Oryctolagus cuniculus: one gene and its partners. The protein of the gene in region 5 purifies or fractionates together with the protein of the main gene of each other region. This does not show direct contact. Links are inferred from orthologs where the notes say so. Each region holds a gene or a part of one and is shown on either strand. Other genes may lie near its edges.

Region 1 (4,208 bases), on a different chromosome or scaffold from region 5:
ACTGTGCATTTATTACACAGCTATAAACATGAGAAGTTTAATGGATAACTTCACTTTTTTATAATATAAATAGTGTAATAAAATTAAACCATTGTACACCCACAGGATCTTGAAGCCTTTTTTTTTAATTTATTTTTTTGACAGAGTGGACAGTGAGAGAGAGAGACAGAGAGAAAGGTCTTCCTTTGTCGTTGGTTCACCCTCCAATGGCCGCCACGGCCGGCGCGCTGCAACCGGCGCACCGTGCTGATACGATGGCAGGAGCCAGGTGCTTCTCCTGGTCTCCCATGGGGTGCAGGGCCCAAGCACTTGGGCCATCCTCCACTGCCCACATCCCTGGCCACAGCAGAGAGCTGGCCTGGAAGAGGGGCAACCGGGACAGAATCTGGCGCCCCGACTGGGACTAGAACCCGGTGTGCCAGCACCGCAAGGCGGAGGATTAGCCTAGTGAGCCGTGGCATCGGCCAACTTGAAGCTTTTTTAAAATTTTTCTTTAAAATTTAAGAAGGAGGGGCTATATGTCATTCAAGTATGAGTTAACTTGGACTTAAGAAATTCTGGAGTAGGACATAGCAATCAAAAGGACATAAAATTTTAAAGCCATGGGATTTTATAAATGTTGAAACAAGAACACTGGAGCCATGTGGGAAAAAAAAAAACAAAACAGTTGTTTGTTTGGAAAACAGCCTGTCACAGAGATGTAAATTCTTTTGTAGAAGATGAAGTTGGAGATACAGCTCTACCTATAACCTACTTCCAGTCACTCCTTCAGTAAAGCCACACCACATGCTTATATGCCAAGCTTTGAAGGAAGTTTTATTGAGAACCCAGAAGCGCCCTTAGAGACTGAATGTAGTGATGTTTCAGTAATGAATGGTCAACGGGGAAACACAAAAAGGGCAGCTTCAAGCACATGCAGAGACACAGAAGGAAAAAAGAGCCCCAGGTAAGATGAGGCTGGAGGAGCCATGAGCTCAGTGTTTCTGATCTTTGATGAGACAGTACCGATGTAAAACACATGCAGAATAATCAAGCTCCTAAAGGAAGATTTCTCCTAACAGATTTTTACCTTCGTGGATGATACACACTCTTTGGTTCTAGATAAGAGACATTCGTTCAAAGCCAAAACAAAGATTTTTCTTTTCTGTTTTCCAAGTTGACCTATACCTTCAGGACAACAGAGCCTGACATAGAATATGCCTTAACTGTAAAATGTTTTCTGGTCGTATGCCTGGTGCTGCAATATTCTTGACTTGCAGATTCTCTGGAACTTTGCAAAAGCAACGTTAACTTGAGAAAAATTGAAGCCAAATGGAAGGAAGGAAAGGAGAAGGAAGACAGCCTGCCCAAGCCGGATGGTCTGAGTCGGTAGCACAGAATAACATCCTGGCTGAAACTCAGTGGGCAAAAATGTGGAAAACAGATTTGAAGCCTTAATTCTCTTTGAGAATGAGCATTTTAGGTTTTGGTGGCTAAAGAAGAAAGTTTCAGTGTGGGGACATCCTGACTACTACAGAATAGTTGTAAAAATACAATTGAGGGTTACCTTGTTCGCAGCACTGTACTAAAAGGTTGAATTAAGTCAAATACTTCTTGAAATTACCATTCCTGCCATGCGCTATTACCTTAGTTTTACACAGTACTACGTGTAGACACTTCATATAAATGCCACCATATACTAACACAATCAGCATAATAATGCAAAGCCCAAGAGACCACCACAGCGATCTGGCTCTGCTCAAGGCAGTTGACTTCAATCCGCTTTAGAAGCAAAGTGGGAATAACAGTCAAGAATCGAATGCACCGTGTTCACATCCTCACAAACAGGGCTTATTTGGAACAATTGTTAAAATCACTAAAGTGTGATGAAAGCCGGATCGTAGCATTTTAACCATCTGCATTTAATATCGCACACATGCACACTTCTGTCTGTCCTGGGAAAACGCCCAACACAGACGGCCACGGTTTAAACATCCGCACTTTTGCCAAGCGTTTAAGCCCCACAGAGTGACTTCAGACGCCGTACCCCCGAGGGCCTCGGCCAGGTTCCCAGAGCGGTCCAGGGGAACCAGTGACCGCTGGGAGTGGGGAGGCCAGGCCACTGCCCCTCCCGAGCCGTCACGGCCGCCCGCCCGGCCCCCGGCGCAGGCTCTGGGGACGGGATCCTCTTTCTAGAAGCCCGCTTCCCAGTCGGTGTCGAGTGCTGCCTGACGGGCTCCGGGAGCGGGCGCCCTGCCCTCTCCCGCCCTGGCACAGCACCAGGCGAAGGGAGGCCCGACGGCGCCATCCTCCCCGACTGTGCCCCCGCGGCCACCCAGACCCGAGCGCCCGCACCTTGATGGGCTTGCTGTCGTTGGGGCCCAGGCACTGGCCGTGCATCTCCTCCATGGCCCTGCAGGCCTGCGAGCTGCGGGCGAACTTGACGAAGGCAATGCCCTTGGACTCCTTGGTGTGCTTGTCCCGCACCACCCAGATGTCCTGTATCTCGCCAAAAGGCGAGAAGCGCTCCCTCAGCACCGACTCGGGAGTGTACTTGCTGATCACCAAGAAGATGCGGCTGTTGGGCGGCTCGTCCAGGCTGTCCACGCCCGGGCGGAAGCCTCCGCCGCTCGCGGAGCTGCCGGCTTCGTCCATCGTGCTCCCCCCTGGCGCGGGAGCCAGGCCGGGGTCCCCCTCAGTAGTCTCTGCTGCTGCCGCGCCCGCCACGGCCGCTGCTGTTCAACCTGCCGTTGCGGGTTCGGCGCTCCGCTTCCGGAAGCCGGAGTCCGGCGTCAGGCGCTGTCCAGCCGCGCACGGCGCCGGCTTCCGGGGCCTGGAGCGCCACCTGGCGCCGCGGAGGACCCGCACTCGGCCCAAGTCTCCAATCCCTCTGAGCCCTGGCCCAGATGTCCTTGTTCCCTGCGGCCACAACAACCCTGCCTGGTGCACAGACTTTCTCTACGCTGGCTTTACCCCACCCCAAACCGAACGACTCGTTGCCCAAACTTGCTAATGTTAAAGAACCATTTATGACACTTATTAAAGATGGTAAGGCAGGCTTTATTTAAATGGACTGTGATGCGGCAGGCGAGAGATTGGACTCAGTTCTGACTCTAACGAGAGCGTAAGGACAAGTTGGGATTTATAACCAAGGAGCAGGGTGGAGGTTAGTGAATGGAAAATTGCTAAGAGGAAAGAACAGGAGCAAGGGGGATTCTTGCTAGACTGGTTTAACAGAATTCTCACTCAATGCAAGCCAGGGTGAAAAAATACTGATGGTGGTTAGACACCAAGAGAGGGGATTTTCACTAAACTCATTTAGCAGGATTTTGCCCCAACTGTATTCCACAAAGGCTTAGAGCCCAGGGTTGGTCCTGGTTGAGCAGAGGACTCTGGGGAACCCAGGTTTTGGACAAAGGAGAGACTCCATAACCATCTTGGCCATAAGTTCAATAGGAGGTCACTATAGGGTAGAGATAAAATTGTAGAACCTTCGAGCTGAAAGGAACCTTTGAGTTTACCCAATCCCAGCCTCGTTTGTTAGTGACAAAGAAACCAGGGCCCATAGCATATCTCAAAGTAACAGAGATACAAGTAACAGAGCCCAAACCAGAACCAACTTGATCTATTGATCACCTCAACTCCATCAAGCACCCCTGGGGTTCAAGGGGAGAGAGATGTGGAATTAGGAGAAACTTAGGGTGCAAGAAAAGTGGGAAGTTCCTTCTGACTTCTAAGTCTTCATGTAAACAGGTGGTAAAGGAGAGGTCAGCAGAGAGCCACCAGAAACCCAGAAGTAACATCTGCAGTTAGCAGTGACACTGAAATTAAGTAAAAGGACTTGAAAGTGGACTGGGAGGGGCTGGCACTGTGGCACAGAGGGTTAACGCCCTGGCCTGAAGCAGCAGCATCCCCTGTAGGCGACAGTTCGAGACCCAGCTGCTCCACTTCTAATCCAGCTCTCTGCTATGGCCTGGGAAAGCAGTAGAAGATGGCCCAAGTCCTTGGGCCCCTGCACCCGAGTGGGAGACCTGGAGGAAGCTCCTGGCTCCTGGCTCCTGGCTTCGGATCTGCGCAGCTCTGGCTGTTGCAGTCAATTGGGGAGTGTACCATTGGATGGAAGACCTCTCTCTCTCTCTCTCTCTCTCTCTCTCTGCCTCTCCTCTCTCTGCGTTACTCTTTCAAATAAATAAATAAAATCTTAAAAAAAAAAAAAAAAAAAAAAGAAA
Region 2 (4,040 bases), on a different chromosome or scaffold from region 5:
CCACCCAAAGGCATCTAGATAGTCCAGGTTCCTTCCTAAGTGGTTTCCCAGCGGTGCGAGAGCGTCCCTGCTGGCACGCACTCCGCACTCGCACGCCCACAGAGTCTGTGACGAGGGCAGTCGCTCGTCTAGGGAGGCGGGAGAGCGCCCCGAGGGTCTCGGGGTTATCTCATTTCTGCTCCATATACTGGACACTAAACACTTAACTTTGGGTTTAGGGTAAAGAAAATATATCCCAGACACTTGAGGATATCACACTTCTATTATTACAACTCAAAACCACGTTTACAAGCACTAATTAATTTTCCAGTTGCTACTGATGAGGAAAAGTCACTACCCCAGGCTCCCTGGTGGGCCAGCTGAACAGCTCTGGGCAAAAGGGAATACAACAGTGGTGGCTCTTACTGGAATGTGTATTACAGGTTCAACGATGAAGACGAAGAGGATTTATGTTCAAAATGGTGCCAAAGCATTTGTAAGTCTAGTATTCGTTTCTGGTAGGGTCAGAGAGAAACACAAATGAAAACGGAAGGCCTTCAGGAAAATGTAGTTATTAGGATCCCTGTTCACTAAATATGACAAATAGCTGAGACATTTATTTACAAAGAAAAGTCCACTTGACCTCAAGCATACTGTCATTACTCATTTCATAGACACTACAGGAGCCAAAAGCTATGCTACGATTTCTGTGGTTCAATACCTGCTTTAGAGAAGCTTGGTAAGTGGGATTTTCGCCCTGGCCTTACTGAGCAACTTACCCAGCAGTTTAACTGACAGGAGATATGAGCTACTGGGAAGATTCTGTCATATTAGTAAGGATACAGGAGCTCGGTGGAGGGTCTTGAAATAGCATGAAAACAAATGTTTTCAGTAAAATGTGTAAAAATCGCTGTAACTGCTACGTTTATGCCTGTTACCAGTACTTCCTTATTGATAGAGGTTATGCTCAACAGAGAAGACAGACACTGTGCAGTTAACTGCTGCCCCGCTTCCTTCCAACTCCCAGTCCACACGCTGCACACTTCACTGGCAGACGGCTCCCCATTCAGCAGCTAGAAAGAACCCAACTCAACAGTGTGCTCCAAGTGTCCTCTTTAATCTGCTGTGAGAAGCTGGAGACATTATTTTAAGGAAAGGCTAGATGTCTGTATTTTTTAATTCATACAGAAATCATGAATGTTCTTAACCTATATCTTCTGGTACAATCTAGGTATAAAGAACTACGACTCCAGGTTATATAGGGAATATTTCACTTTCTCATGTAAGAAATTCTGGATTCATATGCTCTAATGAAGTCAATATTTTATGCAAAAAAAATCCATATACATTTATTCATAGGTCTTAATACAGCAAAACATAAATCAAAGTGGAGAACATTGCCCATTCAACCAGTAAATTTGAAATTGTTTAATTTTTAGTATAAAATGGAGCTTTTCCACAAAATGTATCTGCATGGGATTCACCTTCCCTTCTGCTTCATGCTCTAAGAGTACATTTACAGACAGCAGTAATCAGGCTGCTCTCTTGCTTACATTCACATGAACATGGTAAGCACAAAGGAGCAACCGTCTTTTATGTAGTAGCGAAAAGAGTCAATAATCCTTTCAAGAATGAGACTATTTCATTTCCTCCCAACTTGGATTCACCATAAACACGATCCACAAATGATATTGGAACCTAGTTGAGAAAACAGTACAGTCAGTCTTCAAGACACCAGACAGGACGTCCAGAGCTGCAGGCCGCCGTGACTCACACAACAGACCAAGGCTGAGTCCTGCAGTCCTGGGTTCTCAGGTAAGGTCAGGAGTGGAGACCTGGGAGCTCTGCAGCTCCGGTCTTTACACAGGGCCAGCTGTGAGGCAGCAGGTTTCAGGGAACTATCCTATTGCCAAGTAAAGCCACGTGCATGGAGTCTGGTGCAGCCGTCAAGGCCCTGCTCGGGACACCCCGGCCAGGGCCAGTCCCAGCAACGCTTGGGATTGCAGCTTCCTGCTAATGTGCATCCTGGGCAGGAGCAGGAAACGGCTCAGGCGCTCAGGTCTCTGCCACCCCCTGGGAAACCCAGGCTTCGGCTTGGCCAGCCCTCGCTGTTTTGGGCATTTTGGGAAGTGAACCAGAGGATAGGAGATCTTCTGTCTCCATTTCCCTGCCTTTCAAATTAAGTACAAATTTAAAACTGTAAAATGACCCTCCTCTTTTAGCCATTGCTGTGACTTAGCAGTAAGTTAAAAAATCCTGTAACTTCTACAAGAGAACTAGCATTTTAGGGACGCTGTTTTCTTGTTTTAAGTTTTCGTCTTAAATGAAGTCTTTGCAGAAAGCTCACTAGCCAGTCCTGACTACTGTGAATGTCCCAGCACCTCGCGCCAGGCTTCTGGCCACTTTGGTCTATTCACAGGGAACGGCCGCAGTGGCCTCAGTGTGCAGTTCAGGGCCTCAGGCTGATGAGGGAGGGCGGCAGATTCAGCCCGTGACGCTGACCACAAGGTAGCACCGGGGCGCAGGAGGTGCCAGCTACTTTCCATCATTTGAAAGGAAAGTTCCTTCTACTTAAATCTTGGTAGGCTCTATTAACTTCATAGCTATGGAGGTTACTTTTTTTTTAAATAAGAAATCTAAACCTTACTGTTGCTTTCTCTTATTCAGAATGTGGCATGTTACTTGGTGCCAGCTGCGTACCTCAGCAATGGTGTAATTCAGCTGCCGGGCCCGAACAATCATCTCCATCTGGAAGACGTAGCCTTTAGAAACGCACTTTTCTATCAACTTTTGTAGAACTTCTTTTCGATATAATCTGTAAGAAACCAGAAAATAGTAAACACCTATATAAACACACTCATTTGTGTACACGGGTCCTGCACTTTCAAACAAAGGTTCACTGGTATGTATAAAGCCTCAAACTTTCACTAGCCATTGGAATGCAGAAATGTTCAGACAGTTGACGACTGTGATACATTTGTCTTGAACAAGGCCATGAAATATTTCCTAAATATTTTGGAGTAATTTTGAAAATGAACTCTCAGTATCTTTTAGAGAATCATATTCCTGTTACACAATCATAAATTGTGATAAAATGAATCTGATAAAGGACCTCCCATTAATTTTTTTTATTGCCTTAAACTATGTTTCAAGTTGAAAGAGGAGACACTGTTCTAACTATTGAACAGCCAAGCTGACAGATGACGGTGGAGCAGCAGTGCGCCACAGACAGGCCGGAGCTCAGGAGCAGGCATTCCCCAATCAACATGTGCGCCCGAGTTCTATTTCCCAACACTTCCTCAGGAAACTCCCTGGAGTAGACGAAGTCTCTCTAGGATGAATCTGTTTAGAGCCTCAGTGGGTAGGAAGGCAGTAATTTATACTATTTTTTATTTAATTTTTAACTAAAACCAGGAGGAGCGGTTTAGTATAACTTTGTTCTGTTCGAGGGTAAGGCCACTCAGAGCTACAAAGCCCAAGGGTCGTCTCTGAACTCATAGTTTCCCCTAAGCTTCCTCCAAGGCTCCTCTACCTTTTCAAGAGGCTTTTGAGTGGGCATCAGACAACAGCACAGCCCTTAGAAGAACCTGAGCGAGCTTAATGTACACACTCCTTTATCTATACAGATTCTGCAAGGATTCTTTTAAGAAATTTGGAAAAACTATTGAAAGTTGAGAACATAACATTAGCAATATTTACTCAAACAACAAGTATTCAGCCAGCAGTATATTGGAGTAAACTAAAAACCGAGTAAAGACGTAACACACCAAATGATGTTAAGTGCAGAGGGAGGATTGGGATTTGGGTGGGAAAGACAGTAACGGTACAGTATCTTGGTACTGCCTTCAAAATTGGGATTAGGCTATGAATTCTTTGAAGAGTCATCTTATACCAAGACATTAATTTCTCCTCACTGCCAACTCTCTCTCTTCTGCTCTCCCACAGTATCTTTAAAAGTAAGTAAAATCGTAAGTGTGAAGCAAATGATTCCTTAAATAGAATTAGGACCCAGGTATTCTTTGCTGTTAAATGGCTGTTATGCCAGACTGCATCTCCTCAGT
Region 3 (4,271 bases), on a different chromosome or scaffold from region 5:
TGCACTAACGCCGCAGCAGGACCTGGGGACAGCTCTGCAGGCAGACGAGCAGCTGGAGACCCGCCGGTCCCTGGCTTGCGTGAAGTTCCCTTAGCAGTGAGAGCCGGTCCACAGTCAGACCCCAACCTGCCCTCCTCTGGGACGGTCTGCCCGGGCCGCCTAGACTGCACCGGTCTGAGAAGCTCAGGGGCCCACAGGACAAGGAGGCACGGCAGGTAAGCCCATCAGGGAAGCAGCCTCAGGTGCTCGCCTCCCACCAGATGGAGGACCTGCCCTCATGATGCTAACAGGGCTCCAGGGACCCGCGCTTCGGGGGTTAAGCGGCTCGAGGCCAAACCCCAGCGCGCCTGATCCTCTGTTTACTTGGCCGTGGGCAACCAGGCACTCGCCCCAGCTGCAGTCTGGCTCTACCTGCCTCCTAAGAGGTTCTGCAGATGACGCTGCCTTTCGCGGGGCTCAGGGCTCGGAGGAGACAGCTGCCAATCACCCTTTCACAGTTCATCCACAGCGAAGGGGCTTCCGCAGGCGGTCTACTCTGGGGGCCGTGGCCCCGAGCTAGTCCTCAGCGGGACTGGGACTGCAAACAAGGCCCGGAGCCCGGGCTCGGCTGCCCCGTAACGACCAGACCCAACACGGCCCGGCGGCCAGCTGCCGTTTGTTTTCTTCTGATCCTGCTAACAGGTAGCAGGTTCTCCGCCCCCGGCCCGACCCCTAATCCCTTCAGCTCCAGGGAAGCCGCTCGCCCTCCAGGGAGTGGAGAACAGGTACCAATTAGACACTCAGGAGCCTTTGCCCCTGAGTATTTCCTCTGCTAAGGCATCCACTAACGCTCGCTGTTACGGACACCAGGAGCGGCGGAGCAGGAAAAGACTTTCGGATCCTAAACCCAACTTTTTTTTTTTTCCTTTTTAAAAGCTCAGATTTGGACATGGAAGCCCAGAACAGAAGAAAAGTGACTTGTTTCCGATCACAAAGGGACACGGCCCGCTAACAGCTTTCTAGGAAGACGCCTGAAAAGTCTCAGCCAGGCTGTTCTGGGGACCGATCCACACACGGGCTCCTGACCCTGCTCCTGTGTAAGGCCCCAGCCCCTGCCCCTCCACCCCGGGAGCCACACACACACACAGCTGGACCTGCAAAAGGAGGAAAAAAAAAAAAAAAAGGCAAGCAGGGCTCCTATTGGCCGCCAGCGGGGTCGGTGGCTAAGGCGAGGGGTGCGGGCGGGCCCCCTCCTCCCGGGTTACCTGAGCACAGTCACGCTCCCTCTGCGCACAGGCAGCGAGAGCACGGGTTCCGACACCCGGATGGGCTTGAACTGGAACTTGCAGCCGAAGCAGAGCGCCGAGTCGCTGAAGAAAGACACGGACACGATGGGGCGCTCGAAGATGTGGATGGGGTCCACGTGCGACACGATGCAGCCGCCGGGCTGGTAGTCGTTGATGACGGCGCTGTTGACGAAGCCCTCGGGGATGACGCGGTGCTCCACCAGCTTCTGGATCACCAGCTGGTGCACCCACTCCGGGATCTCGTCCACGTCGCCCGGGGGGTACAGGCGCTCCTGGCCGGGCCCGCGCTTCTGCAGCTGCGCGCCGTACGTGTAGCCCTCGCCGAAGAAGTACTTGTTGCGCAGCGGGGCCCGGTCCACCGTGTGCTCGTTGTACAGGCCCTTCTCGGCGCGGGACACCACCTCGTCGATGCGGGCCTCGATCTTGGCGCACTCGTCCTGGCTGAACAGGCGCATCTGCCGGATGCCGCTCTTGACCTTGCGCGCCTCCTCCTCCCTCTGCAGCTGCTGCTCCTCGTAGTCGCTGCGCTCCGGGTCCGAGTCCTCCGGGTATTTGCGCTTGGCCCCGGGCGCCGGGTACGGCTCGGCGGCGGCGGCCGCGGCGGCGGCGGCGGCCACAGCGGCGGCGGCGGCCGCGGCCGCGGCCTCCCGGCTGCCCGCCTTGTAGTTGTCCCGGGACGTCATGGACTTGAGCTTCTCACGCAGGTCCGTGTAGCCGCTGGCGGCCGCCATGGCCCCCAAGACGCGACTCTAGGGGCCTCCGGGAAGGGCGGGGCGGCCGGGCATGGCTCTCAGGGGTAGGGGTGGGGACGCGGCCCGGGACCCCCGGAGGGAAAGGGGGGTGGGGTCCTCAGCGAGGGGCCTCCATGCGTGACCGGAGGGCGCCGAGAGCGGGGTCGGGCCTCAGGGGCGGCGGGTCATGCAGCGGCTGCGGCGGCCACGGCGCTTCCTCCTCCACCACCTTCTCCGCGTCCCGGGGGGCAGGGGCGCCGGCAGCGCCTCATGCCGCGAACGGCCGCTCGACTCCCCCCCAAGACCCTCAGACGCCCCGCCCGGCCCGCACTTTAAAGCGCTCCTCACGACGTCACGGGCCGCTCGCCCGACGTCCGCCAGCGCCGCTCCTTAGCGGGCTCCTCGGTGCGCAGGCGCAGTGGCGCCGGCCACCGCGGCTCCGCGCGCTATGAGCATGCGCGTGCGTGCGGGCCGGGCCGGCCGATGGGGCCCGCGCAGGCGCAGACGCGGGCCCTCCCCGTTCGTCGTCCGCCGCCCCTCCCCCACGCGCTGAGGGGGGCGCTGAGGGAGCGCTTTCGAATAGCAACCTTGCCTCCACGCCACGCCGCCTCCGAGACGGGGAGAGCTCCCGCTGCAGGGGTTTGCTGATGGTGTCAACACTGTCGCCCTGCCGCGTCACGGCATCGTCCGAATGCCTTGGAGGCGCCTCAGCCCCCGGCGCGCAATCACCGGGGAACCGCCACAACCTAGGCCGTCCTGGGACCGCCCCTTTTGGCCTTTCCGCTTCTTTCATTGGGCCGCCAGCCACGCGCGGGGCGGGCCTGGACTGGAGTTTCCAGAGGCCGGTTGGTAGCCATGCCTGTCAATCAGGCCATCTCCTTGGCTACCGCGCCCATCGCTGAACAAGCGGCGGGGAGGGAAGCGAGGACCCCTGAAGAGCGGATGGGTGGCTACCTAAGTGCCTGAAACGGAAACCACCACCACCCCGCCCCCCCACGCCTGAGGAAAGTCCTCGGGACGCCTCAGAAAACTTCTAAAAGCAACGGAAACTTTGCTCAGAACGTATGGCCGAGAGCGCCAGGCCCTGCTGGCCCCGAGCCTAGATGGCGACTGCCAAAGAAGCTGGGACACGCGTCTTCGTGGGGGGAAAACGCCCAGCGCCGCCTCGGCCGCCGCTGCCCGGGGTGGACGTTCCGCGAGTCACGTCCCGGCGGCGGCGGGCGCGTGCGCGGCGGCGGGGGCGCGCCGGGCCGGGGGTGCGGGGCGGCGTCTCCCGGGTGCAGCCCCCGTGTGCGCGGCTGAGGGCGAGCCGCAGGTGCGCCCCGCGGCTCCAGCCGCAGCCCCTCCCCAGGCCGGGGCTGGGGGGCGAGGGTCGGCCGCTGTGCTTGGCGCTCAGGGGCCTCGTGCAAGCCCTTGCTCCCGCGTGGTAGGCACGGGGCTTGCTGAGTCGGGCCTCAGCCCCCCGCCCCCCGTCTGTACACTGAGAGGCGCCTGAGTCTGTTGTGTTGGAAAAGTGGATTCTTGGCCATGACCAGGCTGAGCAGAAGGCGGCGTGAGGTCGTGAAACCCCAGACACCTGGGACCCTGGCCGCTGCTTCCACGCTGGCCACCTGGCGCAGCAAGCCTGAGCCGGGGAGAACCGAGTCACCTACAGTCCATCGGGCCCCTGCCCTTTCCTGGTGTAGCCCAGTGGGGTGCAGGTGTGGGGAGGCGGCCGCGGGCAGTGAGGACGAGGCCAGTGGGCGGGGCCATGTGGCCTGCCTCTGGCCCTGCAGGATTCCAGTACCTTCTAACCGCTATGCTGCCCCGTCTTCTATGAAGAGCAGGCCTTCTCGGAGCCACCTGTGGACACAGCTCAGCTCATCCAGGCCGAGATGAGAATCACTTGTTTCCTCCTCGTCTTTTTTGGGGGACAGCGCGAGTTCCCGAGCCAAGCTGCCTGGGGTTGAATCGTCATTGGACCCCTGTGCTGGCTGTGTGGCCTTGGGCAAGTTGTTCTACCTCTCTGGGCCCTATGTACAGTGGTGGTAATAGCACTCACCTCACTGGGCGTGTTTTGAGTATGCAATTGATTTTTTTTTTTTTTTATGTACAGAGCCGGGCACACTGTAAGAAGTTGAATAAAATGAGCTTTTACACAAATGTACGTCTAGAGGCAAGCGTTGTGGTCCAGTGGGTTAAGCCACTGCTTGGGACGCCTGTATCCTACATCGAATGCTTGGGATCAAGTCCCACCTCCGCTTCCAAGCCAGCT
Region 4 (4,127 bases), on a different chromosome or scaffold from region 5:
ATAGCACAGAAAAACAATTTGCTTAAGACAGTTGGTCAATAGTTAACAGCAGGGTATTCTTACTCTCATTTCTACAGGCAAGAAAATCTAGACTGCAAGTACTTCACGTCCTAAGTATTAATAGGAAAACACATACCCTAAGGATCCATGTAAATATGACTCTACTGGGTGGGCCTCTGCTGGACCAATGAAGCTGGCAGCTGGAACATCGCATTCCAAATCCGAGTGCCTGGGTCCAGGTTCAGTTCCAGGTTCTGCTCCCCATTCCAGCTTCCTATTAGTGTACACCTTGGGAGGCAGTGATAATGGCTCAAGTAGTGGAGACATGAATCAAGTTGTGAACCACTGGATGGGAACTTGTATGTGTTAGATAAACATGACTTTGAAAGTTACTTTAATGGCCCTCAACCATAAAGGGACAGATGGCATTTGGATCTCTGAATTTCCATCTATTGTACTTCCTGCTGCTTTAAAACCTTTTTGGGAAGCAAAAGACTATCTATGAGACTAGAAACAAACAAACAAAAATTCACAAGAACACCATGGAAATACAAACATTTTTCTAGGAGTGCTCTATATAGATAGGCAATCTCAATGGTGAAAACTAGACTGCAAACACTTTAACTGGAGGGGCAAGATGTACATGGGAGGCAAATTACAATAATTGAGTAAGGAGACCTAAGTTTCAGTCTAAACCCTGGCCACTACCCATCGACTTTGGATAAGTCATTTCAAACTTGCACATTGGGTTTTTCATTTCATGTGGTTGGTTTAGTTCAGAATCTGGATCAGTCTCAATTAGAATGGAAACAAAGGGGAGAGCAAAGGCCTCTCATGATTTGGTTCAGGATCTACTGCCAGCATCCAGGTCTGTAACTGCCTCATGAACACAGGCCAGCAAGGGTACCACCTCTAAGTCTCCTGTCTTCATTTATTTATCTATAGATTATTCTGTCTGCCACTGTGATAGACACAGCCACGAAATACATCCAGGATAGATTTTTATAAAGACTGAGTCCAAACTTCTGCCAGCACAGAACACATGAACAGCTAATTTCTCATAAATCATGATAAATGCTAAAACAAAGGTCTATCCACACGCTCTGCAACTTCCAACCCAAGAGGCTAAACTACCTGCAACAGCACACCTAATCTAATGCCCTACCTAAATCAGTTTTGCAATATCTAGTTTACAAATAGTCTAAAAGGCTATGACTGTACAGCTGAAAACACTCCATGAAACATAAAACAATGTTACCTAATCAATCCATCTGAGACTAGCCAAGCAGTAATCTTCTGAGATCAGCATCAAGAACAAGCTCCACCATTAACACTGGAAGATACCCACTACCCACTTTGTTCACTCATTAACCACTGTGCATATGGGGCTGATGGGCTTAAGAACTACCTCTGAAATAAGTACTGCCAAAGTAGAAATTTCTGTGCCTAACATTGCAGAATCTGAAAGACATTATCTTCTCCTAAAACTCTAACAATAAGCTCTGGACAGTATTAGACTCGTCATCATCTCCACTGCGTTTTTCAATTTTAAACGCTGACAACGGCACAATTCAGAATGTCAGCTGAACATCTGAAATGACATTTCTCCCATCGGGGCGGGGGTGGGGGGGTGGGGAGAAAGTACACTAGATATACATCAAGCACAGGACCTCTTTCCCATCCCCTCAAAAACCGGCTTGTTGCTTGTTTTTTATCCTGGTCACATTTTTCTTATCAAACTCTAACGACAAACTCCGCAGGCACTGAATTCCCGAGGAAGGAAGGTCACTGCGCTCCTTTTTTAGAGCACGGGTGGGGGGGGGGGGGGGTGGAGGAGAAGAACAGAATTACCCGAAATTGCACGTCCATAGCCTGCCTGCCGCGGCTTAACCTGCTCCACCCAAGCGGTCTTAACCCCGCACTCAAACCCCTACGAGGCTCGGTTTCCTCATCCGTAAGCCGCGCGAGCAACTTGGCCGAAGGGCCCTCGGCGCTGGGGCCTACAGAGCCGGAGCACCAATTCCTGCAGCGGGTGGGCTCGGGCAGGAGAGGAGAGACAGCCCCAAGTAAGCGCCTCACCCCCCGCTGCCGCTTTTGTTATTCACAGCTCCGGGATACGGAGGGATAGAGAGAGACCGAGGGAGACAAGCCACAGGAAGTTAAGAAAGGCAAGTGGGTGGGGGTGGGGGACGAGATCAAACAGCAAACGTGGACGGCCCGGAGGGCGTGGAGAAGGCTGAGCCAGAGACGGGAGAGGCCCCTGGGAGTTAACCGCACCGCCTAGGGACGTCGATGGGGAGAAGCGGGCCGCGGCCGAGCCGAGCCGGGAAGGCAGGCGGAGGGCGGCAGAGGCCCAGGCGGCACGCGGCTGAGGTGGGGCTCCAAGCCGGGAGCGCCCGGCCCGGCCTGCAGGCCGCGACGGACAACTGGGCCCCGCGGAAGCCGCAGGGAGCACCCCGAGACCGCGCAGAAGGCCGCGCGGCACGGCCCCGGCCCGGCTCTCATTCAAGCCACCTTCCCTTCCCCCTTCTCTAACCCCATGCGGTTCTGGCCCCAACCCGCCCCGTCCTTGCTGCCCACCGTCCGCTCCGGATCTCCACGAGCAGGCCTAGCCACTGGGAGTCCAGCGCGCCGAGATGTGCGAGAGGGCAGCGCCCCTTACCTCAGCTCCCCCGGGTTGAATCGCTCACCGTCCCCCCCGTCCCCGCCACGCTCCGCCATTACAGAGGGCCGCGTTCATCCACCCGCCGACCCGACGCCACCTATTGGCCGGAAGGATCGTCAATCCCGTGCGAGAGAGGCGGAGATAGCGGAAGTCTATGAGATGATTGGTGAAGCTTTCTATCCATCCTCCAGGTGGAGGCGGTATCTGCTTTACTATTGGACAAAGGACCCGCCGACTTTGAAAGCGGTATGGAGACAGCCAGAGGATTGGTCGCTCGGAGGCTTTATGGGAAATGAGACTTTAGCAAAGAGGAACCACCGGCGCCCTCTCGCGGTAAGCGAAACTAGGTCCTCCCACGTTTCGCCCAGCGTGAAGTAGCCACGTGTCTGCCGGCTTCCAGGAGACCCAATTGTGGAGCCATATTGGCCACTAGTAGCTCAGGCCGAAAGCATTTCCACGGGGTGAGCCAATCAAAAAAGACCTGGATCGCGCCTAAACCAATCATAGAGTTGAGGCGGAAGGAGTTTTCGCTATTTGACTTATTGGAGTCTTAAGTCAGCACTCGGCTGTGTATCCAGTTTATGAAATAATATCTGGTGATTACAAGAAGACCTCCTAAAATTGTACTAATTAGTTGCATCTGATGGGTGTTCTGAGTTGCTTTATTGAAAAAGTAAATTGGAGAAGCCAGCCTCTTAGCAGTACACAGCCTTAGCGTCCTCCTTCAATCTCAAAATGCAGTTATCTGAAATTGGCACACCCTGCTACCCAAAAAGAACTCTAAATATTTCTTTTATTCTTCGATTAAAGGGGAAAAGACGGCTGAGGCTCTGGAGTTGCAAAGACAAGATGAAAGCAAACCTATTAATAAAGAGCTCAAAGCATTAATAAATTTTACTCAGACTTAACAGTGTATACCAGTACTTTCCATACAATTAAAAAAATAAAACCACCACCACCATGGGACCAGCGTTGTGACACAGCAGGTTAAGCTGCCACCTGCAGCGCCAGCATCCCATGTTAGAGTGCCTGTTGAAGTCCAGGCTGTTCTATTTCCCATCCAGTTTTCTGGAAAGCAGAGGATGATGGTCCAATGCCCTCCCCCCACCACGTGGGAGACCCAGATGGATTTCTGAGTGCCTGGCTTTGACCTGTGGCCATTTTGGGAGTGAACCAGAGAATGGAAGATGTCTCTGTCTGTCTCTCCCTCTTTCCCCTTCAAATAAAAAAAATTTTTAATGAATTTTTAATTTTTTTAGTTACATTTCCTTTTTATTTTTCAGTTTTTAACAGATTAAATGTAGCTTCAAGATACAGTTCTAAGAATGTTTAAAAAAAACACACAACAAAACAAGAAGTGAGTCATATGCATAGCCAGTTAATATATAAGAATGAGGCAGAAAAGTAACTTGCCCCAAATCCCACAGCTAGTAAGTAGCAAGCGTGGCCTTAACCAGAAGGC
Region 5 (4,110 bases):
TCTAGCGAGTACCGGGGTCTTAAGAAGAATGTCTCTAAGGTTTGTATTTTATAGAGAACAATAAATAAGAAAGTGTCTTGGATGGTGGTATTTTTTTTCATGGTCCCTTTTGGGAGGGATCTTCAAAATGCCCATGGAAAGTGCTTATCAAAGAAAAAACTATGAATGTATTTCAAAGAAATTTAATGTTTAGTTATTCACCTTCATCTACTTGAAAGGCAGAGTGACAGAGAGAGGAAGAAACAGAGAGATCTTCCACACACTGGTTCACTCCGCCAACTGCCAGGGCTAGGCCAGGCTGAAGCCAAGAACCAGGAACTCCATCCTGGTCTCCTACAATGGTGAAAGATCTCAACACTTCAGCTACCATCCACCGCTTCCCAAGATGCACTATCAGGAAACATGGCAGCGGATACTCAAACCAGCACTCCAACATGAGATGCAGGTGTTCCAAGGAGCAGCTTAACCTGATGTGCCACAATGCTCACCCCTCAAACTCTTTTTGTAAAATCAATCTTTTAATTCCATCTTTTCATGAAATCTTTGGAAGCATTCACATATTAACTCTAGATAAAGTCAAAGAACGGAATATTAAATCATGCTTCTGTGAAAAAACGCTATGAGGACCACTTTAGAAAATAACACAATGTCGTACTGACTTCAGGCGATGTGTTTATTTCTGTCATTTAGTTTACTCTAAGTTTCTCTAAATGTATGCTTTGTTTTCCTACAGGCTAATTTTCCTCAAGGCTTATTTTGTCTGCTTCCATTTGAACTTCCTTTGCTATTTAGTGGTTTACAAATCTGCTCAATTTTAATGACTGATAAAATGCCATGTAGTCAATACCTGCATTAGTTACTTGTTAGCCTTCTCTGCTACTCTATCAATTTCATGAAGTCAGAGATAAGTGTGTCATGATCATTACTACATCTTTAGTGTCAGTCACATAAATCGCTCCACAGAATGAATGGATTAAATCGAAAAACACAACTCAGAAGTTATGAAAGGAGAGAACCAATTCTTAAAATGGCAGTGACTTTGGGTTCTAAGGTTAGTCCCAATGAGTGCTGCCTCTTAAACAAGTTACTTAACTTCTCTGACCTTCAATGCCTTTTCATCTGTAAAGCAAAAAAATTTAACAGCTACTCAAAATTTACTATGGGGTGGGCCTTGTGGTGCTGGTAAAGTCACTGCCTTGGCTGCCTTGGGGACCCGGCTGCTCCACCTCCCATCCAGTTCTCTGCCAATGGCCTAGAAAAGCAGTGTAGGATGGCCCAAGTGCTTGGGCTCCAGCACCCACGTGGGAGGCCAGGAAGATCCTGGCTCCAAGCTTCAGCCTGGCCCAGCCCTGGCCATTGCAGTGTGTGTGGATGGAAGATCTCTCTCGCCCCCGCACCCTCCCGCAGCTCTTTCAAATCCATACACAAAAATCTTTATAAAAATGTTAAGAATTGTGTACATTACACAGAAAGGAGTTCAATAAATATCAACTCCTTTACTTTCTCACGCCCTCCATCCTAAAATCATACACAAAACAGTGTCAAGAATAAATTATTTCAGTAAAAGTCCAATAGCGCTCATCCTCACTTTCCTTTGAAAAATCAAATTTTCATCTCTTCAAAATCTATAAGGGGGGTGGGACAATAACTTGTGGAGTACTTCCAAAATATTAGAAATGCAAAAAAAAAAGTTAAGAAAATAATGTCAAGAATGAGGCTTGAAGCAGCAACAGGGATGGAAAAATCGCGTTATCTGCCTCCCTTACATAGTCAAGATTTTGAAGGGGCCGTTTACGAAACACGAACGGAAAAGCTACCTAATAACTAGCAGGCTCTGGAACGAAAACATTTCGCGACTGTTGAATTTAGACCTTAAAAATCAGAGACGACTATTTTGAAACTTTCAAGTAACTTGAAGCACTCTCCGCCCGACCCCGCCGCCAGTGCCGGGCTCCCCGCTCGCACGCGCCGCGCAGCCCGAGTTCTGTCATTCCTATAATTACCACACCCCCGGCCGCCGAGCCGGCCCGGCCCTGCCGCGGTGACACCGGGAAACTGCAGTCGCCGGCCCCGGCCCCGCCCCGGCCCGGGTCCGGGCTCCAACTTGGGAACTCCGCACACGGAGCCCGCCCGGCCCCGCGGAAGGCTTTCACACGCATCTCTGCCCCGTCCTGCCTGTCATCGCGCTCCGCGCTCGCGCCCACCCGCGGCCCGCCCGCCCGTCCGCGCCAGGCGGCGGCGCAGGCTGCGCACTCGCCTCACGCCGCCCCGCCGCCTCGGCGTCCCGCAGTCCCCGGCGCCGCTTCCAGCCCCGCCGCCGCCGCCGCCGCTACCGCCGCGCTGCCCCGCCTCGACCGGCGTTCCCGATGGCGATCGCACCAGCGCTCCCCACCCCCACTCGGCCCTCCGCCGGCCGCGCGGCCGTTAGAAAGCCGGGCCCGTGACGCACGGACGCGCCGCAAGGGTTTGGGCGCAGGCACCCGGGCTGGAGCCCACGGCCGGCGCCTAACCTCGCCCCCGGGGCCTCTCCCGCGTCCAGCCGAGGACAGCCCGGATCCGCCGGCGGGAGGGGGAGGGGCCGCAGCCGCAGGGCCCCCAACTCACCAGGCTCTAGGCAACCGGTCCCGGTGCCACTAAGCTGAAGCGCTCACTCGCTCGCCCGCGCGCCGTGCCTCTCTCACGCGCACAACCTCGAGCAGCCGGTCCGCGCTTCGGCGGTGCCCACCAGGCCTCGCTCTCCGCCGCCGCGCACCGAGCAGCGAGACCCAGCTCAGCCGGCGTTCGCAGTGCGCCTGCGTGCGGGGGCCGGCCCGCGCGCCTGCGCAAGCTCCTCCACCACCCGCTGCAGTGGCTGCCGGGAGTTGTAGTCTCCAAACGGTCGCCCACCGGCAGTCCCCAGTGGTTGGCGCCCAACGGGTGAGGAATTCCCGGTAGAGGAGAGGGCTTCTAGGAGCAGGCTTGCAGCCTGGGAAAGGTTGGAGAAAGTGATGTCCGCAAACCTGTCTTTACTGATCTCTTCTAGGACGGATCGATCCTCACTCATCTCCGTCTACCCTCTAACTAGGCAGGTATCAATTTCAGTCCGTGTTTCTTGAATGACTGATGGAATGAATGAAGTGTTGTCAGCGCCTCAGGGCTTAAAGAGTTACCTTGTGGCGTGTTTGCAGGAAACTTCTAGGTATTCCTTCTTCAGTTCTCTCCCATCCTGTTTGCCTGAAAATATATGCATGACGTCAAAAATCATGAAGAAATGACTTGCTTTATTCTCAATAAGCGCTGTCAAACGGAAATTGTGGGGCAAATGACTCTCACTGTTAAATTTGATGAAATTCTTCTTTGGAGGAAGCAAATGGATTAGTGGCTTGTGGCGGGGGGTGGAGTGTGTGTGTGGAAGAGTAAGACTGCAGCCAGTCAAGCAGAGGTCACAGAACAGAAAAGTCTCACTGAGGTCCTAGTTTGCCAAACCAGTTTCAAACACACACTGAGGAGCCAGGTGGAAGAGCTGGGGTGGATTAATACATTTCCCGGTGTAGGGTGGGGAGAGAGGGGACTGCACTAATTGGAAGCTCAGTTATGCAATGCTCAGTTGTCCTGGATCTGTCTCTGCTGCCTCAGCATTCCCCCAGCAATGGTGTGTTTACTAGGACCAGGGCTGAGTTTGAGCCAGGTGGCTGGGGAGGGGGTGGTCTATGGGACAGAGCTAGAGACAAGTATGCATGACGGCAGCCGGGCTGAGGACAGCTCACCTTATCCCAATCAGGAGCTGAGGGTGGTTGTTGAAAGCAGAACCTCCGTCTTTGTGACTGTTCACCCTTACTCATAGCCAAGACATACATAGTCCTAGAGCACCCCGACCGAAAGTCTTGAGTGTTTATCAGGGCTCCTCCTCTTTGACAGAGCCTTCTCAGCTCCATGAGACAGCCGAAAGCTCTGCTCACTTTTTCAGCCACTGTTTTTAGAATCAGCAATCACCTCAGGTTTGGAAAAGTGAGGGCAAATGTCAGACTCGCCTCTCCTAGCTCTCCTCTCGTTCCACATCTTGCATCCAGAAATCCTCACTGCTTTAGCAGCTCTTCAGCGCATTAGCATGTTTGATTTTGCACCCAGGTT
Region 6 (4,245 bases), on a different chromosome or scaffold from region 5:
AGTTCTTTAAGCAAAATAACCAAGTAATTAAAATTCAAGGCAACATTGCTAATGCGTTTGCCATCATGAATGCACACTGAGTTTCCAACAACAGAACAGAGCTGGGTCGAGCGTGCATTGGTAGGCCCGAGTTAGCTGCTCACCTGTAAGCGATTTCATCGGCCACCTTCTCCTGAGAATCCTCCTCCGTGATCTCGTACCGGCCTTTGTAGTTCATCTCCAGCCTGGCTCCCACTCTGTCTCTGACGGGCCGCTTCCGCTTGAGATGCCCTTGCCCGTTTTCCTCGTCCTTCGACCCCCCCTTTGTGCCACCATGCATGTAGTCGTCTAGCTCCTTGTCTACATCTTTTGCGTGCTCCTGAGATTCCCTCCTGAGTTTCTTAGCCAGCAGGTAATTGTAGGTCTCTGACTGCCTGCTTCTGTCAATCGTGCCCTCCATTCCCAAGATGCCCAGTTCAGTGGCCACGGCGTCCTGGTTCTGCTCCTGCAGCACGGCGCCCCAGATGTTGTTAACCTTCTTTCCTCCGGCGGCGGGGGGCTTCTGACTACTCTGGTCAAACTGGAAGGGCTCTGGCTTGGGAGGCAGGCTCAAACACTTCTGTCGCTTGCGCTTCCAAAGAGAGCTCTCATCATCTGAATCAGAAAAGCTCTCTTCACTTGAATCCACACTTTTAACAGTCCGGTAATGTGACGCGGGTGCACCCGCTGCTGTGGGACTCTGCAAGCCCCTCGCGGCACTGCCCCCTACTAGAACTTTCTGCAAGCAAGAGGAGACACGGTCAGTTCCACAAAACACATTCCGCCATGTATTCCACCCGCCATGTGCTGCTTAAAAAAATAAAGAGCGAGGGAGAGAGAGACTCAACTGGACTATTCTAGAACAAAATTGTCTTCAAAAACATCTCTGAAACCAATGCTTATGGAATTTGCCAAATATAAAGCTAAAAAACCTGGCATGGGCGTTGTGAAGTGCAATGATTAAGCTGTTATCTTGGACACCTCACATCCCGTATCTGAGTGCCTACTTTGAGTCTTGGCTGCTCCACTTCTGATCCAGGTCCCCGCTAATATACTGGAAGGACAGCAGAAGATGGCCGAAGTCCTCGGGCCCCTCCTACCCATGTGGGTGACCTGGGTGGGATTCTGGGCTCCTGCCATCAGCCTGGCCCCACCCTGGTTATTGGGGGCATTTGAGGAGTGAACCAGTAGATCAAAGATGTGTCTCTCTGCTTTTTAAATAAATAAATGAATCTTGGAAGAAAAAAGGCTACGCATTCTTATTTCTACAGCTAATGCAGCATTTAATTCTAAGGTCTCTTAAGAAATTAGCAGAGCTCTCAGTTCTCACTTTCAGAAGATTTCGTCTTTTCCATTATTGTCAGAATGCCTGGGAATGTCACACGCAATTTGCTACTGGCAGTTAGAACTGTTTTCTTTCTTTCCACAGATACCCGCCTTGCTGTACACACACCAACTTCCTCCATAAGGTTCAATGATTGTTTCCCTTTGGATTAGAAGGCAAACTCCTACCGGGAGGAACCCGTGATATCACTTTTTTTTTTTTTTTTAAGATTTATTTATTGAAAGCCAGACGTATTGAGAGAGATCTTCCAAGCAGGAGCTTCATCCGGGTCTCCCACATACGTGCAGGGCTCAAGCACCTGGGCCGTCTTCTGCTGTTTTCCCAGGTGCCTTAGCAGGGAGCTGGATCCGAAGTGGAGCAGGCAGGACTCAAACTGACGCCAATACAGGATGCCCGCGTGGCAGGCAGGGAGTTTACCCAGTACCTTGTCCCCCTAACAATCCTAAAACTGCAGAGTTCATGACGCCAGTTTACCAAGTCACGGAGCAATTTAGGTAAAACCACTGAGAACAAATTGTGTCGGAATTAACTCCCAGGGCATTTATATGCAAAAGGAGTCACCTGTGCTTTAAAAAAAAAAAAAATAACTACCGCCACATAACAACTTCACAACCCCCTGGCGTCCAAGGTGGGGTTCTGCAGTGTAGTCTACACCGAGTGAGCTGCGAATCAGAGCTCTGAGCAGATCCAGCACCTCAAACTTCTGTGCGCGGTGAAACACCGCACACCCCGTCTCCAGCTGCTTGGAAGCACACAATGCACGGAGCTCCAGAACTCACGCTCCCTCGGCACCCGGGACTCGACACGAACTCCGCGTGCGCCGGGCTCCCGCGAGCGCCAGCAGCCGGGCCGGCGGCGGCCGAGTCCCGCAGGAGTCCGTCCCCGCGTCTAGGGCGACGTCGGCCGAGTCGCTGCGTGCGGGCCGCGCCCCCGCCCCGCACGACCACCGCGTCCGCGGCGCGACGCCCGGGGGACGCAGGCGGGCCGGACGGCGGGGGACCCCGGCGGCCCCGCAAGACAAAGCCGGGCGGGCGGGCGGGCTCTGCGGGCCACGGTCCCCTCACCCCGCGGGGCCCGGATGAGCAGCGCGGGCTGCTCCAGGCCGACGGCCCCGGGTCTCGGCCCTTCCGGGACAACGGAGCGACGCCAGGCCGGGGACGCCGCTGGGTTTTTACACCACGACCAGCGGCCTGGCAGGCGGAGTCGCCGCCGCTGCACGCCCGCCTCCAGGCTGGCGGCCCGGGCTCCGCGCGCCCCCCGGCCGCCCTCCGCACTCACCGGCACTGGCAGCGGCCTGTCGCTGGGCGCGACCATCATGTCGGAGTCCGAGTCGGAGAGCTGCCCATCTTCCATGTCGCCCGCGTCCAGCGCCATCTTCCCGCGGCGCGCGCTCGGGAGAGCACTTCCGGCGGCGCGGCGGCCGCTCGGGCGCCCCCGCGCGGGAGCCGGCGGCGCGGCAGCTGGCGTGAAGGCCGGGGCGCGGGGCTCCCGCCTGCGAGCCCGTCCTCGCCGTGTGTGCGGGGGCGGCGGCCCGGGGGTCCCGGCGTGGCCTGGCTGCCCCGGGCAGGTGCACCCGGAAGGAGGCGTCGCCCCTCGAGGCCCGGGTGCGGCTGCCCCGGGCAGGTGCACCCGGAAGGAGGCGTCGCCCCTCGAGGCCCGGGTGCCCGCGCACCGCCGCACCTCCCTGGTGAGCGGTGCTGCTGAGTATCTTCTACCCGCTGTTTGGCATGTGCGTGTGTCCTTCGTGTTGAACGTCGGAATTTTTCCCTTTTCACTGAATTATAAGCATGGCATCCCTGCTCTGGAGACCCCTTGTTGAACATCTGATCTGATTGGAGTTGTACCCTGCTCCCTCCGTGTCTGTGGCTCGCTCTCACATCTGATCAGTGTCCTTTGAGGAGCCATGATGCAAAGTCTCCTTTATGGGTGGTTTCCTTGTGTGCGTTTTGTGTCCCAGGGGCACAGAATAGCCCAGTGCTTTTCAACCTGGGGCTGTTTCCTTCTGCAGGGGACGTCTGGCGTCGTCTGGAGATCTTTTCAGTTGCTGTGCGTTGGGGGTGATGCTGACACGGGGGGCCAGGCCAGGGTTGCACCTCAGCATCCTATAATGCACACAACAGCGCCCCGCAACGAAGATGCTCTCCTGTGTTTTCTCTCGAAGTTTTCACGTTTTTGGGTCTGTGGTCTGTTTTGAGTTAATTACTATATACGGCTTGCAATAAGAGTCAAGAATCTGGATTTGTGTGCGTGTGTGTGTATGTGTAACTGTCCAATTAGTAGACCACTGTTTGTTGAAAAGACTACTTTTTCCTCTTTGAATTTCCTGTGCTCTCTATTCTGCTCCGCTGATCTTTATGCCTGTTTTACACCAACCAATGTGATGCTTGATTACTGTAGATTTAAAATAATGTTAAAGTTATACGGGTTTTTTTGGAAAAAATATCTTAGCTATTCCAGATTCTTTGCAATTCCTTTTTAAATTTCTAACCTGGTGCACCACAATGCTGGCCCTTTTTTTTTCTTTTCTTTCTTTCTTCTTTTTTTTAAAAAATATTTATGTGTGTGTTCATTTTACGGAGGCAGAGGGATGGAAGAAGGGAGAGACAAAGAGGTCTTCCATCCACTGGCTCACTCTCCAAATGGCTGCAGTGGCTGGGGCGGGTCCAGGCCAGGAAGCCAGGAGCCAGGAGCTTCTTACGGGTCTACCAGATGAGTGGCAAGAGCCCAAGCACTTGGGCCATCTTCTGCTGCCTTCCCCAGCGGATTAGCAGGGAGCTCGATTGGAAGTGGTGCCCGTGAGGGGTCTGGCATTGGGCAGCGATTTAACCCACTGTGTGACAGTGCCGGCCCCAGGCATCACACATTGTCAAGGAGCAGTTCTC
Region 7 (3,965 bases), on a different chromosome or scaffold from region 5:
AGCTTAACCCGCTGTGCCACAATGCCAGGCCCTTATCTATAGCTTTTACACAGCATCCATTTCTTTTCAGCTAACTGGTGAGATTCTGGAGTCCAACACAGGGAATGTCCTGGGGTTTCAGATAATCCCTTCTATAAACAACTTCTTCTTCCTCTTCCTCCTCCTCTTCCACTTCCTCTTCCTCCTCCTCCTCTTCTTCTTTTTTTAAGATTTATTTATTTACTTGAGAGGCAGAGGCAGAGGGAGAGAGGTCTTCCATCTGCTGGTTCACTTTCACTCCCCAGATGGCTGCAATGGCCGGAGCTGAGCCAGGGACTTCTTCCCCATCTCCCATGTGGGTACAGGGACCCAAGGACTTAGCAGGCCATAGCAGAGAGCTGGATCGGAAGTGGAGCAGCCAGGACTTGAACTCGCACCCCTATGGGATGTTGGCACTGAAGTTGGCCGCTTTACCTGCTATACCACAGCACTAGTCCCCCTCCCCTCCCCCTCCCCTCCCCCCCTCCCCCTCCCCCCTCCCCCCTCTCCTTCCCCTCCCTACCTCCCCCCTCCCCTTTCCCCTCTCCCTCTTCTTCCCCTCTTCTCCTCCTCCCCTTCCTTCTTTTTAAAGACCCGGAGCTTCTTCTGGGTCTCCCACACTGGTGCAGGGGCCAAAATTCTACTGCTTTCCCAGACCATAGCAGAGAGCTGGATTGGAAGTAGAGCAGCTGGGTTTTGAACTGGCGCCCATATGGGATGCTGGCACTTCAGGCTAGGGCGTTAACCCGCTGCGCCCCAGCGCCGGCCCCCTGGCATTTTTTCTTTCAGATATTGAGAACCTAGAATGTAGAGGACACTGTGTAGGAGCTGGAGGAGTGGGAGACACTAAGAACAACAGAATCTGGAGGAAGGAAAGAGTTCCAGGTCCAGCCGCCATTTCCCCAGTCCCCCTGCCCCCCAACCTCACCCCACAGATCTCTGAGGCCTTTCATGGGGGGCTTCTGGATAAATTGTTCCTAAGGGGAGGAGGTGGGTGTGGATGTAGGGAGTTTTCTTGGCACCTTTCACCGGTTTGTTGTTGTTGTTACAGTCATCACAAACACCTGGCAAGGAGCACCGAGCTAGGGAAGTGAGACTGGCAGACAAGGAACCAGCAAAAACACAGACATGGGCATGAAGGCGGAAAAATCACTCATTTATTAAAAACATAACGTGAAGACACCCTAAAGCTTGTGGTCTGTGTCTTTGCAATTTATGGTTTCCAGGTGACTTTTTCCCTGGGAGAAAGGCTTTATGGTCCAGAGCTTCCTAGGTCGGCAGAAGCGGCTGAATTACAATCTCGATCACGCTGCCAGTTCACTGTATGACTCCAGGTGAATTATTCCACTTATTTGTGTCAGCTCAGAAACGGAGAGAGTGATGTCGGATATGTCACAATATATTTTTGGTGGTATCTCCAGTAAAAGGATTATGATAAACAACAGCCACGCCATGTGCATAGCAGAATACTTTTGCTTTCTTTGCTGGGTCACAAGAGCTGACAGGGCTCACAGTTGACACATGGCATAAAACCCCTGGGAATCTGAGGCTTTCTGGGGTTAAAAAGAAAGCGGAAGACACCTGCTATTTGCTTGGTGCTTTCTGCTCCGGTTTACAAAGCATTTTCAGATAGCATCACAACGGATCCTTACCACCTGTGAGGTGGAGTTAGTGTCCCCATTTCATAAAAGAGGAAACAGGTCACGGAGTCAACCAATGTAAGGCAGGCAAAGTTGTTCATTGTTGTATTATTCTCACTTTGCTTCAGCTGTCCAGATAATTATTTTTTCACTTCAACATCTTTTGATTAGGGGCCACGGCACAAGATAAGGCAAACACAGACTTTTCTGGGAACACCTCCTCTTCCAGCATAGGCCTCAAAGTCACAGTCAACAGCCACACAGCTGTACATCACCAGACACTCCCAACAACCCGCAACCATCAGGGATCATTGTTGTGTTTATTCTGCAACAAAGTCTGGGAGTAGTAGATTGGCTTGCCTAAAAAAAAGTATTTGTGTTCACTTGGGGGATGGCCAGCTAAGACTCAACTTTATCTTTTTGTTCCGAGGGTGCCAAGGATTTGAAAACAAGTTGTCCAGAGAATTAGCATGAGAAAATGACCATTTAAAAGGTTCAGGCACAGAACTAGTTAACTGTCCATCATCAACAACCTGACAGTCTGACAGTCTCTCCTCCTGGGAGGTGGTGTGGGGAACTGTAGGGCCCTTGGACGAAGGGCGCCGCTAAGTCTTTTTTTTTTTTTTTGCAATGGGGCCTAGTTACAGACAGGGTCTCAGGGTGTCCGGGAGTGGGTTCTGTTCAGCCTAGTTCTGGGGTGAATGATGACGTCCCCGCCATCGCAGTTAGGGCGCACTTGGACGGCAGCCAGTTTTTCCAGTCCTGGCCCAGCTGGGTCTCTGACTGGGAACGCCTGGGGTCTGTAACAACCTTCCCAGAGGAAGGTGCCCTGCTGCCTGCACTTATTTGTATCCAAGACTTTGCAGCGAAGCTTGCACTGGTGCTGCCTTGCTTAGGGTCGCACATGCTGGGGCTCCCCGGGGACAGAGCAGGGAAGGAGAACCTGTCTAGCGGTGGGCAGGTGACGGGTTACTCAGGGTGGGGCAGGAAGCGCTCCAGGGAGGCTCAGCCTCTGTTCCCACCCCAATCTCCAAGGGCCCCCAGCCCGCAGTTGCCAGTGCAGGCTTCTGCGTCGGCCAGGACTGGGGCCCTGGGGTCCTCCACTCGCAAGGCCCCTCAGCCTCCCTCCCTGTCCCCCGGTGCCCGCAACCCGCAGCGCTGGGGCCTCCCGGGGCCTCCCCCAGCGCGGCCCACTCGGTTTCGCTCGCCCTGCGCTGGGGGCGGACGCCAGCCCCCAGCCCTCGGCGTCCCCTCCCCTTCACTTCCCCCTCCCCCGTCCTCTCCCTTCCCCTCCCCCCCGTGGCGAGGCGGCGAGGAGGCGGCGGCGGCGGCGGCGGTCGAGGCTGAGGCGGCGGCGGCGGCGGCGGGCGGGGCTCGGCTTGGGCTCCGCGGGCGGGCGGGCGGACATGGCGGCCAACATGTACCGGGTCGGAGGTAGGAAGGCTCGGCCCGACCCGGCCCGTCTTGGGGGCGGGCTGCGGGAGTTGGGGGGTCGCGGCGAGCGCAAGCTAACCGCCGAGAGTCCTGGGCGCCCGGGCTGAGGGCGCAGGGAGGGGGGCACCGGGGCCCTCAGAGGGGCCGGGCTCCCCACCCCCACCCCTCCTCCTCCCCCCACGGTGGCCCGCAAGGGGCCGGGGACCAGCAGCACCCCCATACCCTGTCCAGGTTTTTAGGAACAGGCCTCTACTGGGGGCATGAATTACCAGGCGCCCCCCTCCATGGAACCCACATGGGGGCAGGGCCCGTCGAGCCCCCTGACTGGGTGGCCTTTTCCTCGCGTGGCTTCTGGGTATTGGGGGCCGGGGAGGATGGGGGGACATCTTCCTCCTCCTCTCCTTCCCCTGCCCTTCAGTCGGAGAGTGGGGTGGGGGTGGGGGCGAGGGGGCCCAGCCAGGGTCCCCGCTGGACAGGCCTGTTGGCGGGGCCGGTTCCTGCACCTCGCCTTCAAAGCCTCCCCTTGCGTTTCTTGTCCGGCCCCCCAAGATTGGGGTCTAGCAGGGGCCAGGAACCGCAGCCAGAGGTGGGGAGTTGAGCTCTGCCCGGACGTTTGCTCTCCTGTCTGCCTCCTTCCCAGCCTTCTGCGGAAGAGAGAAATAAGGTCAAACAAACTTTCTCCCTACTCACGACGCCCTCCTCCCTCTTTCCTGGTAAAATAATAATTCAGATAAGTGGCGTGTTTGTGTGTGAGACGAGCTCTTCTCTGCTCGTTAGCCGAGCTCCTGATGGATGGTGGTGGGAATGGCTTGGCTAAATGAGGCCACTTTGCAGAAGAGAGAGCCGCTAAGATAGACAATAACAACGCAGTCC

Evidence for each region.
Region 1: the proteins of KPNA1 (region 5) and RBM45 purify together in Homo sapiens (co-immunoprecipitation; 3 studies listed by BioGRID and IntAct, with this or other methods). This does not show direct contact. The link is inferred for Oryctolagus cuniculus from reciprocal best matches to the Homo sapiens genes KPNA1 and RBM45.
Region 2: the proteins of KPNA1 (region 5) and ADNP purify together in Homo sapiens (co-immunoprecipitation; 3 studies listed by BioGRID and IntAct, with this or other methods). This does not show direct contact. The link is inferred for Oryctolagus cuniculus from reciprocal best matches to the Homo sapiens genes KPNA1 and ADNP.
Region 3: the proteins of KPNA1 (region 5) and ALKBH5 purify together in Homo sapiens (co-immunoprecipitation; 3 studies listed by BioGRID and IntAct, with this or other methods). This does not show direct contact. The link is inferred for Oryctolagus cuniculus from reciprocal best matches to the Homo sapiens genes KPNA1 and ALKBH5.
Region 4: the proteins of KPNA1 (region 5) and TCERG1 purify together in Homo sapiens (co-immunoprecipitation; 3 studies listed by BioGRID and IntAct, with this or other methods). This does not show direct contact. The link is inferred for Oryctolagus cuniculus from reciprocal best matches to the Homo sapiens genes KPNA1 and TCERG1.
Region 6: the proteins of KPNA1 (region 5) and PHAX purify together in Homo sapiens (co-immunoprecipitation; 4 studies listed by BioGRID and IntAct, with this or other methods). This does not show direct contact. The link is inferred for Oryctolagus cuniculus from reciprocal best matches to the Homo sapiens genes KPNA1 and PHAX.
Region 7: the proteins of KPNA1 (region 5) and MTA3 purify together in Homo sapiens (affinity purification with mass spectrometry; 3 studies listed by BioGRID and IntAct, with this or other methods). This does not show direct contact. The link is inferred for Oryctolagus cuniculus from reciprocal best matches to the Homo sapiens genes KPNA1 and MTA3.

Annotation. Positions count from the first base shown.
Region 1 is NC_091434.1:63,008,724-63,012,931, forward strand, and holds the start of RBM45 (RNA-binding protein 45), read right to left. Parts: upstream 2,801-4,208; 5' UTR 2,635-2,800; coding exon 2,335-2,634; intron 1-2,334. UniProt on the Homo sapiens protein: RNA-binding protein with binding specificity for poly(C). May play an important role in neural development.
Region 2 is NC_091442.1:10,026,920-10,030,959, reverse strand, and holds the start of ADNP (activity-dependent neuroprotector homeobox protein), read right to left. Parts: upstream 2,801-4,040; 5' UTR 2,795-2,800; coding exon of another isoform or gene 2,680-2,794; exon of another isoform or gene 2,647-2,679; intron 1,795-2,646; exon of another isoform or gene 1,678-1,794; coding exon of another isoform or gene 1,573-1,677; exon of another isoform or gene 495-1,572; coding exon of another isoform or gene 417-494; exon of another isoform or gene 244-416; intron 1-243. Other genes in the region: DPM1 (dolichol-phosphate mannosyltransferase subunit 1), read right to left, coding at 1,573-1,677, 2,680-2,794.
Region 3 is NC_091448.1:62,322,479-62,326,749, forward strand, and holds the start of ALKBH5 (RNA demethylase ALKBH5), read right to left. Parts: upstream 2,801-4,271; 5' UTR 2,018-2,800; coding exon 1,245-2,017; intron 1-1,244.
Region 4 is NC_091437.1:33,946,969-33,951,095, reverse strand, and holds the start of TCERG1 (transcription elongation regulator 1), read right to left. Parts: upstream 2,801-4,127; 5' UTR 2,722-2,800; coding exon 2,663-2,721; intron 2,067-2,662; exon of another isoform or gene 1,934-2,066; intron 289-1,933; exon of another isoform or gene 137-288; intron 1-136. UniProt on the Homo sapiens protein: Transcription factor that binds RNA polymerase II and inhibits the elongation of transcripts from target promoters. Regulates transcription elongation in a TATA box-dependent manner.
Region 5 is NC_091435.1:78,713,303-78,717,412, forward strand, and holds the start of KPNA1 (importin subunit alpha-5), read right to left. Parts: upstream 2,801-4,110; 5' UTR 2,605-2,800; intron 1-2,604. UniProt on the Homo sapiens protein: Functions in nuclear protein import as an adapter protein for nuclear receptor KPNB1. Binds specifically and directly to substrates containing either a simple or bipartite NLS motif.
Region 6 is NC_091437.1:15,871,549-15,875,793, reverse strand, and holds the start of PHAX (phosphorylated adapter RNA export protein), read right to left. Parts: upstream 2,801-4,245; 5' UTR 2,738-2,800; coding exon 2,642-2,737; intron 758-2,641; coding exon 144-757; intron 1-143. UniProt on the Homo sapiens protein: A phosphoprotein adapter involved in the XPO1-mediated U snRNA export from the nucleus.
Region 7 is NC_091433.1:160,050,243-160,054,207, reverse strand, and holds the start of MTA3 (metastasis-associated protein MTA3), read left to right. Parts: upstream 1-1,165; 5' UTR 1,166-3,064; coding exon 3,065-3,092; intron 3,093-3,595; exon of another isoform or gene 3,596-3,756; intron 3,757-3,786; exon of another isoform or gene 3,787-3,805; intron 3,806-3,965. UniProt on the Homo sapiens protein: Acts as a component of the histone deacetylase NuRD complex which participates in the remodeling of chromatin.